Linked DNA regions of Kluyveromyces lactis. The protein of the gene in region 4 purifies or fractionates together with the protein of the main gene of each other region. This does not show direct contact. Links are inferred from orthologs where the notes say so. Each region holds a gene or a part of one and is shown on either strand. Other genes may lie near its edges.

The links.
Region 1: the proteins of PRP24 (region 4) and LSM6 purify together in Saccharomyces cerevisiae (affinity purification with mass spectrometry; 3 studies listed by BioGRID, with this or other methods). This does not show direct contact. The link is inferred for Kluyveromyces lactis from reciprocal best matches to the Saccharomyces cerevisiae genes PRP24 and LSM6.
Region 2: the proteins of PRP24 (region 4) and LSM2 purify together in Saccharomyces cerevisiae (affinity purification with mass spectrometry; 4 studies listed by BioGRID, with this or other methods). This does not show direct contact. The link is inferred for Kluyveromyces lactis from reciprocal best matches to the Saccharomyces cerevisiae genes PRP24 and LSM2.
Region 3: the proteins of PRP24 (region 4) and LSM7 purify together in Saccharomyces cerevisiae (affinity purification with mass spectrometry; 4 studies listed by BioGRID, with this or other methods). This does not show direct contact. The link is inferred for Kluyveromyces lactis from reciprocal best matches to the Saccharomyces cerevisiae genes PRP24 and LSM7.

The regions. Positions count from the first base shown.
Region 1 is NC_006041.1:232,658-234,619, reverse strand, and holds LSM6 (U4/U6-U5 snRNP complex subunit LSM6), read left to right. Parts: upstream 1-1,217; coding exon 1,218-1,460; downstream 1,461-1,962. Other genes in the region: GTPase-activating protein RGA2, read right to left, coding at 1-103. UniProt on the Saccharomyces cerevisiae protein: Component of LSm protein complexes, which are involved in RNA processing and may function in a chaperone-like manner. Component of the cytoplasmic LSM1-LSM7 complex which is involved in mRNA degradation by activating the decapping step.
Region 2 is NC_006042.1:854,753-856,867, forward strand, and holds LSM2 (Sm-like protein LSM2), read left to right. Parts: upstream 1-1,303; coding exon 1,304-1,591; downstream 1,592-2,115. Other genes in the region: GDI1 (Gdi1p), read left to right, coding at 1-899; KLLA0_F09229g (uncharacterized protein), read right to left, coding at 1,715-2,104. UniProt on the Saccharomyces cerevisiae protein: Component of LSm protein complexes, which are involved in RNA processing and may function in a chaperone-like manner. Component of the cytoplasmic LSM1-LSM7 complex which is involved in mRNA degradation by activating the decapping step.
Region 3 is NC_006041.1:2,036,778-2,039,326, reverse strand, and holds LSM7 (Sm-like protein LSM7), read right to left. Parts: upstream 1,047-2,549; coding exon 1,035-1,046; intron 905-1,034; coding exon 584-904; downstream 1-583. Other genes in the region: FUR1 (uracil phosphoribosyltransferase), read right to left, coding at 1-44; ALF1 (Alf1p), read left to right, coding at 1,248-2,000. UniProt on the Saccharomyces cerevisiae protein: Component of LSm protein complexes, which are involved in RNA processing and may function in a chaperone-like manner. Component of the cytoplasmic LSM1-LSM7 complex which is involved in mRNA degradation by activating the decapping step.
Region 4 is NC_006041.1:967,408-970,496, reverse strand, and holds PRP24 (U6 snRNP complex subunit PRP24), read right to left. Parts: upstream 1,824-3,089; coding exon 525-1,823; downstream 1-524. Other genes in the region: NUP188 (Nup188p), read left to right, coding at 1-498; transcription factor MIG1, read right to left, coding at 2,268-3,089. UniProt on the Saccharomyces cerevisiae protein: Functions as a recycling factor of the spliceosome, a machinery that forms on each precursor-messenger RNA (pre-mRNA) and catalyzes the removal of introns.

The DNA.
Region 1 (1,962 bases), about 730 kb from region 4:
GCCATCTATTTCCGCCTAATTCGTACGCATGACCCATAGTAATATGGTTCGTACAACGAACACATACTGACGTCTCAGCAGCCCCCTTCGGAGAGGCAGACATACGGTAATTAGTTTTGCAGATGTAGCACGCTGTGGAGGTGATGGTCTTGTAGTGTGTTCGTTTGTCCCTGGATCAATAACTTTTTGATCTAATGGATCAAAAGCTGAAAAGAAATCTAAGATTAATCTTCGAATCGAAAGTATAATAATAACAGAACACGCACAAAGAGCACGACACACCAAAAAAAAAAAAAAGTTAATAGAGAGATGTATTAGCAGCGGCTTTATACTATGATATTTTCTTGCCACGCACCGTTAGAGAGTACTATATAAGGGAAAAGAATTCCAAGCTGTTCCTCGTGGACGGAGTAAATTCCCTCAATATGAATGTTGAGATCGAAATATAGATACGAGGGTTCAATTAACTCAAGGAATGTTTTGATCGAGAGTGAATGCAGCCCTATCTTGTTAAAATCCGAAACGTTTGAAGCGAGTTGATATAAATAAATCGTGTCTCAATCTTGATTATATATATGTACAATCGGTCCTAACCAGTGCTAAATATGGAAGTCAATTAGATAGGGAAACGTAAACAGCACACCACGTCAATTATATTCTAGCTGAATTGATATAGCATATCTATCAGCTGCAGAGAGCCACTAAGGTAAATTAGTGCTGTCTCTCAACGGTTTCGAAATGTATATATGCATTGAAACAAAATCAGGAACCAGGTTTGAGAATGTTTGAACTATGTGGTGTGCAGGCGTGATTTGGAGTTCAGTTTCTTTGTTTCAAGGTCTTAGAGTTCGAAGATTTTGGCTAAAATTGGAGTCAAAGAATGCTGGTTGTTGTCGGAATGTATCCAGGAAGAACCTTTGACATTTGTTTCCAAGCTAGAGCAATATATTACTATAATCTGCGCTGTTCCCTTCCATTCATTTAATTAATTAATTTATTACTTACTGCATATCACTTAATTCACTTTACCACAGATCACGTGACTAGAACATTCTTTCCCTTTTACTTCAACGTGAACAATGAAAAGTGAACTTTGTTAATATAACGTTGAACTGATGGAGAATGATGAGAGTAGGTTCAGATGCAAGAACTACAGGCTTCTTCATATCTTTATTTCGACGCTACCAAATTTCAAAGGCATAGATTGTTAACACATCATGGAATCTAAGGCAACGGCTTCTGGCTCCTTTTTGGAGAACATCATTGGAAAACCAGTATACGTCAAGCTATTCTCAGGAATATTGTATCAAGGTAAGCTAGAATCAATTGATGGGTTTATGAACGTCACAATGTCACAAGTGTCGGAACATTATGAGGCAGAAGAGAACGGAACTTTGCATAAATATCCTTCTGAAGTATTTCTAAGGGGATCGCAGGTGTTATACATTAGCGAAAAATAGGCTTCGATTGGGCAATAAGATTGACTTCGACCAATGACTTTTGTAAGTCGATATTATAAAGTGTCCTATTTGCTCAGAAGCTCAATAACTACAATAATATGATAATACTAATAATAATTTATATACAAAAGTATATAATTGTATACTATAAAGATGGAACGTTATCAAAGCGGAAAGTGTTAAAAAATACTACGATGCACATATATAAAGCACCAAAGCATACATAAATTTAAATTCTGATTTTATTTTAAAATAATAAGAATATGTAGATATCTAATACAATAATAATATATATTAACCTTGTACCAGTGAGTTATACATTACTCTTTTCAAATTTTTATATCATGATTCTTAAAAGAGAAAATTTATTGTCATATCGTTAGAGAAAAGGAGATCAAAGAGGTTCCTTTCGTAGTTTCTTATTTATTCTGTGATAAAGAAAGCTTTCAGATCAAACAAACCGCGAACCTCATATCATGTTGTAGTTTTTTTTTGAGAATAT
Region 2 (2,115 bases), on a different chromosome or scaffold from region 4:
TGGAATGGATCAGTGCATACAATGAAGAAGATATCGCCACACATCAGGGCTTAAACTTGGATCAAAACACTATGGATGAGGTATACTACAAATTTGGCTTAGGAAATTCAACCAGAGAATTTATTGGACACGCAATGGCCCTTTGGACCAATGACGATTATCTGCAACAACCTGCTAGACCATCAGTGGAAAGAATTATCCTATATGTGCAATCGATTTCCAGGTTTGGTAAATCTCCATATATTTACCCTATGTATGGGTTGGGCGAATTGCCTCAAGGATTTGCTAGATTATCAGCTATTTACGGTGGGACATACATGCTAAATACCCCAATTGAAAAGGTTTTATACTCAGACGATGGTAAATTCGAAGGTATTGTCACCAAAGAAGGTACTGCAAAAGCACCAATAGTCATCGCAGATCCAACATACTTCCCTGAGAAATGTAAAACTACAGGTGAAAAGGTGATCAGAGCAATTTGCATCACTAAACAACCTGTTCCTAACACTAGTAATGCTGATTCTTGCCAAATAATTATACCACAATCACAAGTTGGAAGAAAGAACGACATTTATATTGCTACTGTCTCTGACGCCCATAAAGTTACTTCGAAGGGTCATTACCTCGCCAGTGTATCAACCATCATTGAAACTGATAAACCTCATATCGAATTAGAGCCGGCTTTCAAAATGTTGGGCCCAATTGAGGAGAGGTTCATGGGTATTTCAGAAATCTTTGAACCGATCGAAGATGGCACTAAAGACAACATTTACATCTCTAAATCTTACGATTCCTCATCTCACTTCGAATCCATGACCGACGATGTCAAGGATATCTACTTTAGGATTACTGGTCACCCCCTTGTTTTAAAGAAGAGAGAAGATGTTGCAGAGGAGTAAGTGAGAACTACGAGATAACCGTGATGCTAACTTTTGAAAATATCGTACCTTCACGTACTTCTACGTACTTTTACGTTACTTTCTTGTTTCGTTACAATCTTTATCATTATCATTTTATTTTTGTCTATTTACTATCTAGCCCCACATATTAGCTTGAATGTTTTGGCAATAGTTTTATTTCAGCAATCGACGTAAAAATATCCCAGCTAGTCCTCTTAAGTCCAGCAGCTTCTCTACTTCTACATATGAAGTTGTGTATGTCAATTTTGTACATGTATCTTTTTTTTTTCCTTCAACATGAAATTGTTTAAAACAATTTCATGTTGAAATTTGACAATACAACTACAACACATTCAAAAGTCAAATGCATGGACCTCTGAACCAAGGCCGTACTGTCCAGAACCATGCTATTATTTTCATTTTTCAAGACCCTGGTTGATCATGAAGTCAAAGTCGAACTAAAGAACGGTATTGAACTAACAGGTACTCTAAAATCAGTCGACCAATTTTTGAACTTAAAATTAGACAACATTTCGTCCAACAATAATGAAAAATATCCACATCTATCAAGCGTGAGGAACATGTTCATCAGAGGTTCTACTGTGAGGTATGTACATTTGAAGAAATCTATGGTGGATACCAACCTACTTCAAGATGCAACCAGAAGAGAATTAATGAGTGAAAGAAAGTAAACGAAAGAAGCAGCGAAAAACAGGGTTCCTGCTGCAGAAAGGAATAATTTATAACTGTTAAATATCATTCGAGTCTACCACTCTCACACTATTCACATATGTAATAATAGAACACATTACCTATCATGGTGGAACTCCCAAGAGTTTCTTCTCACATTTTGATCGGAGGTGTCCAGTTTCATTGCAATAAGAACATTTAATGTTGTTAGCTTTAGACTTTCGTTTTCCAAATTTGGCTTGTTTAGGAGTTCTTTGTACTGGAATTAGAGCATATTCTTGACCGTCTTTCTGAATAATCTCAATTTGTTTCGAAATCATTTTTGAGAACTTCTCTTTATCCAGTTCAACGGATGTAATCATCGAGATGAGCTCATCAACGTTCTTCAGTTTGTTCTCGTATTCCTCTTTTAAAGACGGGAGAGTCGACTGCTTTTTTTGGGACTGAGATAACACTAGTTTGGCTAGTTGATCAAGCGCCTCAGACTGTTTAATAATCTTGTCTGCATCCGCCATGATAGAGCTTG
Region 3 (2,549 bases), about 1.1 Mb from region 4:
TGTGCCAATAGATGGACATTAGGAAATGGTTGTGTAGAACTCATATTATTTTCTTTTAGCAGCAGATAAACCTAAGTGAAGTTCGCTTTGATGCGCTAATTGATTGGTCTTCAGTAAAGAGTAAGAATACTACAGAAAATATTATTCAAACAGATTTGCAGCAACAAGCGAAAAGAGAATTTGAAACGTTAAAAGAACAACTCTCACAAGAGATATATACTCACATATATATAAATGAACACCTGGACGCAGTCGGTTTAAAGAATTCAAGATATCTCTCTAATCAGTCGATGCGATGAGATACGGTTTTTTGGTCGAAATTTAACCAAAAAGCTTTGCTGATGTTAGAAAAAAGATTCAATAAGTCACGTGAACGCACATTTGTGCAGATTAGGTCTTGATAAGTGAGATGTAGCCGGTTAGGAAAGTATCTCCGTTGGAGATACTTATTTCATTAGATACAGGTAGAAATGTGGATATGGGCTCATAGTGTGAGTTTGATATAGCACTGAACGTTATATAGCACTATTAATGAACATATATGGTACACTGTTGCTTGAAATTTTTTTTTTTTGGGTCTTAACTAGGTATTGATGATCTCAGCACCTTCGAGGGAACATAGCGAAAGTAGAGCTGTTCCTCTTATGACGACCAAACCAATTTTTTTGGCTTGGTCCTTGTGGATGATGGTTTCATCTTCTGGGTCTCTTGCATATTCGACGGTTTCGTCAAGAACCAAGTTCATTAGCTCGTCATAACCCTTTAGGATTCCAGTGACCAGTCTTCCCCCTATGAACTTGACACGTACTTCTGTGTCCTTATATTGTGCAAGATTTATGATAGACTCACGCTTTGGGCCTTCGAACTTCTTCTTCTGCTCTTGTCTCGGTTGTTGTGATTGCCTCTGCAGAGAAGGGGAATGTATAAACTCTCTAACTGTTAGTAAATTTGAACTTAAAATGTAGAATGGATCATTGTTTTGAGAAAGTTGAAGAAGTTTTAGAAAGCCGTCCTAATTATAGTAGTTAACATACTGCTTCGCTCATTATTAGTAGTTGGTTGGGTGGGGTAGCGCTGTTTGCTCAATGGGTTATTGTCAAAGTGTGTTACTGGTTTCAAATTAACTTTTCATTTAAGTTTACGGAACATTGAAAAATTCGATGTTCAAACATGCCTGGACAAAACGACAAACATTGAACTTACAGCATCGAAGACAAAATAAAACAGAGGATATATCAGCACCGATAATGTCATCTGACGTGGAAATTATATCCGATTTGGTTAACACTCAGATCTTTGTGAAACCTGGTACATCATGGGACCATCTGGGCCAAAGATTGAACGAATTGACCGGTGTTGATGTTCAAGACATGAAATTGGTGATAAATGGCAATGCACAGAACAGCAAGTATTTGAAAGATCTCAAAGACCAGAAAGTAGAGAAAATCCAGTCCATAAAAGTGATAGACACCAACGAAAACAGTTTAGCAAGCCAATTGAAAAATGATTTGCTACATGCTAATAGCGATGACGTTTCGTTCCGATACACCATGGACGATTATGAGAACAGAAGGGATTCTGTATTACAATGGAAAAAAGATAACAAGTTAGGGAAATTTAATCCTGAATACCGCTCTAAGATGGAAGAACAACTACAACTGAATATCGATAAGGCAGAACTATTACAAAAACACGTTGGAGAAAGATGCAGAGTACTGTCCAACGAGGAAACAACGACCGATTCCACCAAGGTCCCCGAAAGAAGAGGATGGTTACGATACGTGGGAAAAGTTCAAGAGATCAGTAATACAGATGTATGGTGTGGAATTGAATTTGACGAACCTGACGGTAAGAACAATGGTACATTCCAAGGAACGAAGTATTTCGGACCAGTAAAAAAGAATTACGGCGGGTTTGTGAGACCTGCCGTTGTTGAAGTAGGTCCTCAATTCACGCCATTAGCTGACGATGAATTGATGCTCACAGATGATGAGTTATAGGGAGTTGATAATTTACATAAGTTTAATTATATTCTCGTCCTTGGCCTCGTGGATGATACTCTGAACTACGGAAATGACACCTGACACACACGTGACAGGGTCTACTACTGAATGAATTCGTAATTGGTTTGAGTCGGGTGTTGTGCCGTAGCTGGTAAAAAGGCCACGTTGCGACTTCGGTTCGAATCTTCCTCAGAACACAAAGTCTCTGTTCATATGAACCTGGTTACAAAAAGATCAAATATGGCAATTCATTTCCTGTTCTCAACTTCATACTAAGCCCTTGAAGCGCTTCAAAGAATATTCACTCTTAAGTATAAGGTGGATGCTCGTTACTTTGAAGTGTTTTGAGAAGAGGTCATGTGATTTGAATGTTCTACTTGATCAGAGGAGTTGTTCTCCTCATTCCAGGTGGGAAATTCGGTGGAACGCAGCTGTCCGCTCGCCGAGGGTTCAAACCCCCGGTGAGTTATAATCAAGCAAATCCCTAACGGGATTTTCGCTTCGTGAGAAGGTTGTTTCTAATGGAACTTCAGCTTGAGCCCTATT
Region 4 (3,089 bases):
ATATGGTCCAATGGCATCATATCGATTATTCTTCAACTATTAAGTAAATTCGGATCTGGAATACTTTCGGAAGTGTGTCTATTTGTTTCATATTTCTCCAAACAAATAGATCTTGCTGTGGGGGGCTGGTCGTCTGACTCACTGTCCATAACTCAAGCATATATCCAGGAGACTTCCCAGATAATTCTTTTGCAGAAAATGCTAGATAAACTTGAATATCAGCGTTATTTGTCTGTTAATGGTTCCAAATTGAAGGTCATTGACGAAGAAGAGATAATAGAGTTGTTCCCTGGTTTAGACACTAGCTCTGAGAGAAACGATTTGGCAAATGTATTGAAACATTTGTTAACTCACCCAAAGTATATGAATTCTCGGATCATCGCGACAACCCCAGACAAACAAAAGATGATGGAAGATGAGGTCTATAGAAATCAGCTTCTACATTCTATCACCAAGCAAATCTCAGAACTTCAATCATCCTTGATGTCAGATTTATAAACAGGTAGGTTTATATAGTATTAATATTATTTAGATAGAAATAATTTTCTGAAGTCATCATTGCTCAACTTTTTGTCATTTTGTGACGCTTGCTGTGATTTAATTTCCTTTACAACAGCGTGCTTTGGTTGATTCAAGGTTGTTTTGTGTTCATTGGGATAATGAAGGGAAAGTTCATGAGCAGAAACACATTTCAAAATTCGGTTCTTGAACTTGTATCCATTGATTGCAAGTGAAACTTTTGCGGTAATTGCTTCTTTGTCCGCTATTATTAAAGCACCTTCATGATCAGAGACCAGCAAAACCTTCGTAATATCCGGAGGTCTAATTTGAGCTTTCTCCGTAATGAAAGCAAGAATTTGATCTGGGGTAATCTGATCAGACAATGGGTATATTCCGACAACTTTTGGGTTTTCTTTTCTGGAAGCAAGCAGACGCTTCACCTCTTGTCTTTCTAGATAAGCCTTTCTCATAACTTTTGAAACGTGTAATGGCTTACCGTTCATTACCGCTCCATTTAATGACAAAGCATTATCTGCACTCGCTTTGTTTTTGAATGTTATGAACGCATATCTGGAATGTCGTCCAGGGTTTGTTTCATCACCAGTTACTATTCTAGCTTTTTCTGTATCACCAAACTCATTGAACATCTTTATCAAATCATCGATGGTAATATCATCTGGAAGGTTCTTAACTATTATCTCTCTACCATCCGATATGGCATTGTCAGTCCTTTCAGTTCGTTCGTTGACATTCGATATTTTCGCTACTAATTTATAATTGTTGATCTCTATCCCATTGAGCCTATTTGTAGCTTTCTTTGCCACTTCTGGAGAAACTAAATCAACATATGCAAATCTTCTTCTTGAATTGAACGCTAAGGACGGCAATCTAATACTCAAAATTGGTGAATCAATGTACTGCGATAGTAAATTTCGAAGCTTGCTGGCATCATACCCAGGTGGAAAATTGGTGACCCAAATCGTAGAATCTGTTAGCTGTTCGACAGTTATCTGATGGAAGCCAATCTTTTTCAAAGTCCTGCTCACTGCTGTTAGGGCTTGATCATAGGAACTAAATTCAATCCTTGCCAATTTTGAATCCCCATCTGTTGAATCTGTAACATCTATTTGTAATATCGAACCACAAGTTTTGAAATATCTTCTAACCTTATGATGATTATAATTTGGAGGCAAGTTCTTAACTAAAACAGTGGTATATTCGCGGTTATGCGTATGTAAATTCTTAACTTTTTTCAAGGTAGCAGCCTCCTCTACAGAGACATTTTCGTCTTCTGGGCGTCTCTTATTGTTTTCTGCATTCATAAGTGTACCACGTGCGATTAGGTCAGTTCATAAAATCAACTGGTTCGACCTGCTACTAAGGTTGCATCAGCTCCTATCACGCAACCTTTAAATTGATTGATACTATTGCAGTTTAAAGCCTTTAAAAACTTTGAATATCAAACATATCACGTGATATCTTCATGGAAAGATGTTTTTCCTCAGACGAGCATGACAACCAGTATCCTGAACACAGAATATCTTCGGTGATCGCAAGCTTCAGGTTCTCTGAAAACTTTACAAAGTCTATTTTGGATGGTTATTGTCAATAGAATGCTAAGATGAAATGATATATAATTGATGGACAAGAGCTAGTAAAATTCTATATTCATTATGCGTGAAAGTTTTATATCTTGAGTTAATATAATACATTGATCGATGAAGAGACGGTGCGCTTACATTTCTGTCCATTTTCATTAGTAGTCATTATTTTGGTGGTAAAAGGTCTAAGCTTCGAAGTGATGGCAACTGCACTGGCTTATTCTGATTCAAACTGGGTAACAATCCTTCCGGTGGAGGACTGTGCGTTGGAGTGCACAGTAAACTTGAAAAATGACTTTGGAAATAGTAATCTTTTTCGTCCTTACTGTTCCTTACCGGCAGTTGATCCATCGATCTAAGCCTTGAATGAAGTTCATCATAAAATTCTCCTTCTGTAGCTGAGCCGGAACTTGGTGGCATTGTAGAACTAGGTCTCATGATGGGCATTATGGCTTTTGATTTCTTAAGTGGCCGGCCATATGCATCTTCTGTACTCATATCCTCATCTTGTGAGATTACGGTTTCTTGCTTCAGTAGAGTAGATATGCTTACAGTACTTGAATTTCTTGAATGTTGATCTATCAGTTGGTTGAGACTATTGGATGACGAGAATCTGGAGTTAAGTGCAGAGGAGCTGAAGCCCGATGGTGATTGCTGTTCCGACAGATTTGTCCACGATCTGGTTCTAGGCAGACCGTTACTTATATACTCGTTATCAACAAACTCGGTCAATGGTCGGTTGGGTGCGGGATGGTGAAGATGTACTAGATTCTGTTGCGAATGATTATATGACTCTGAATTTTGAGACAAGGGTGTCATTCTTTGTAATGATGATAAAGCAGAAAGCTTAGCACGTGAAGCTGGTCTTGGTAACAATAGTCCGCTACTGCTGTTGTTGATTGAATGAGATGTAAACGAAAGTGACGGAGAGGATGAAGATGAAGTCAACGGTAGTTTATCAATAAATTTGAAAGAGGATGAGGCTTT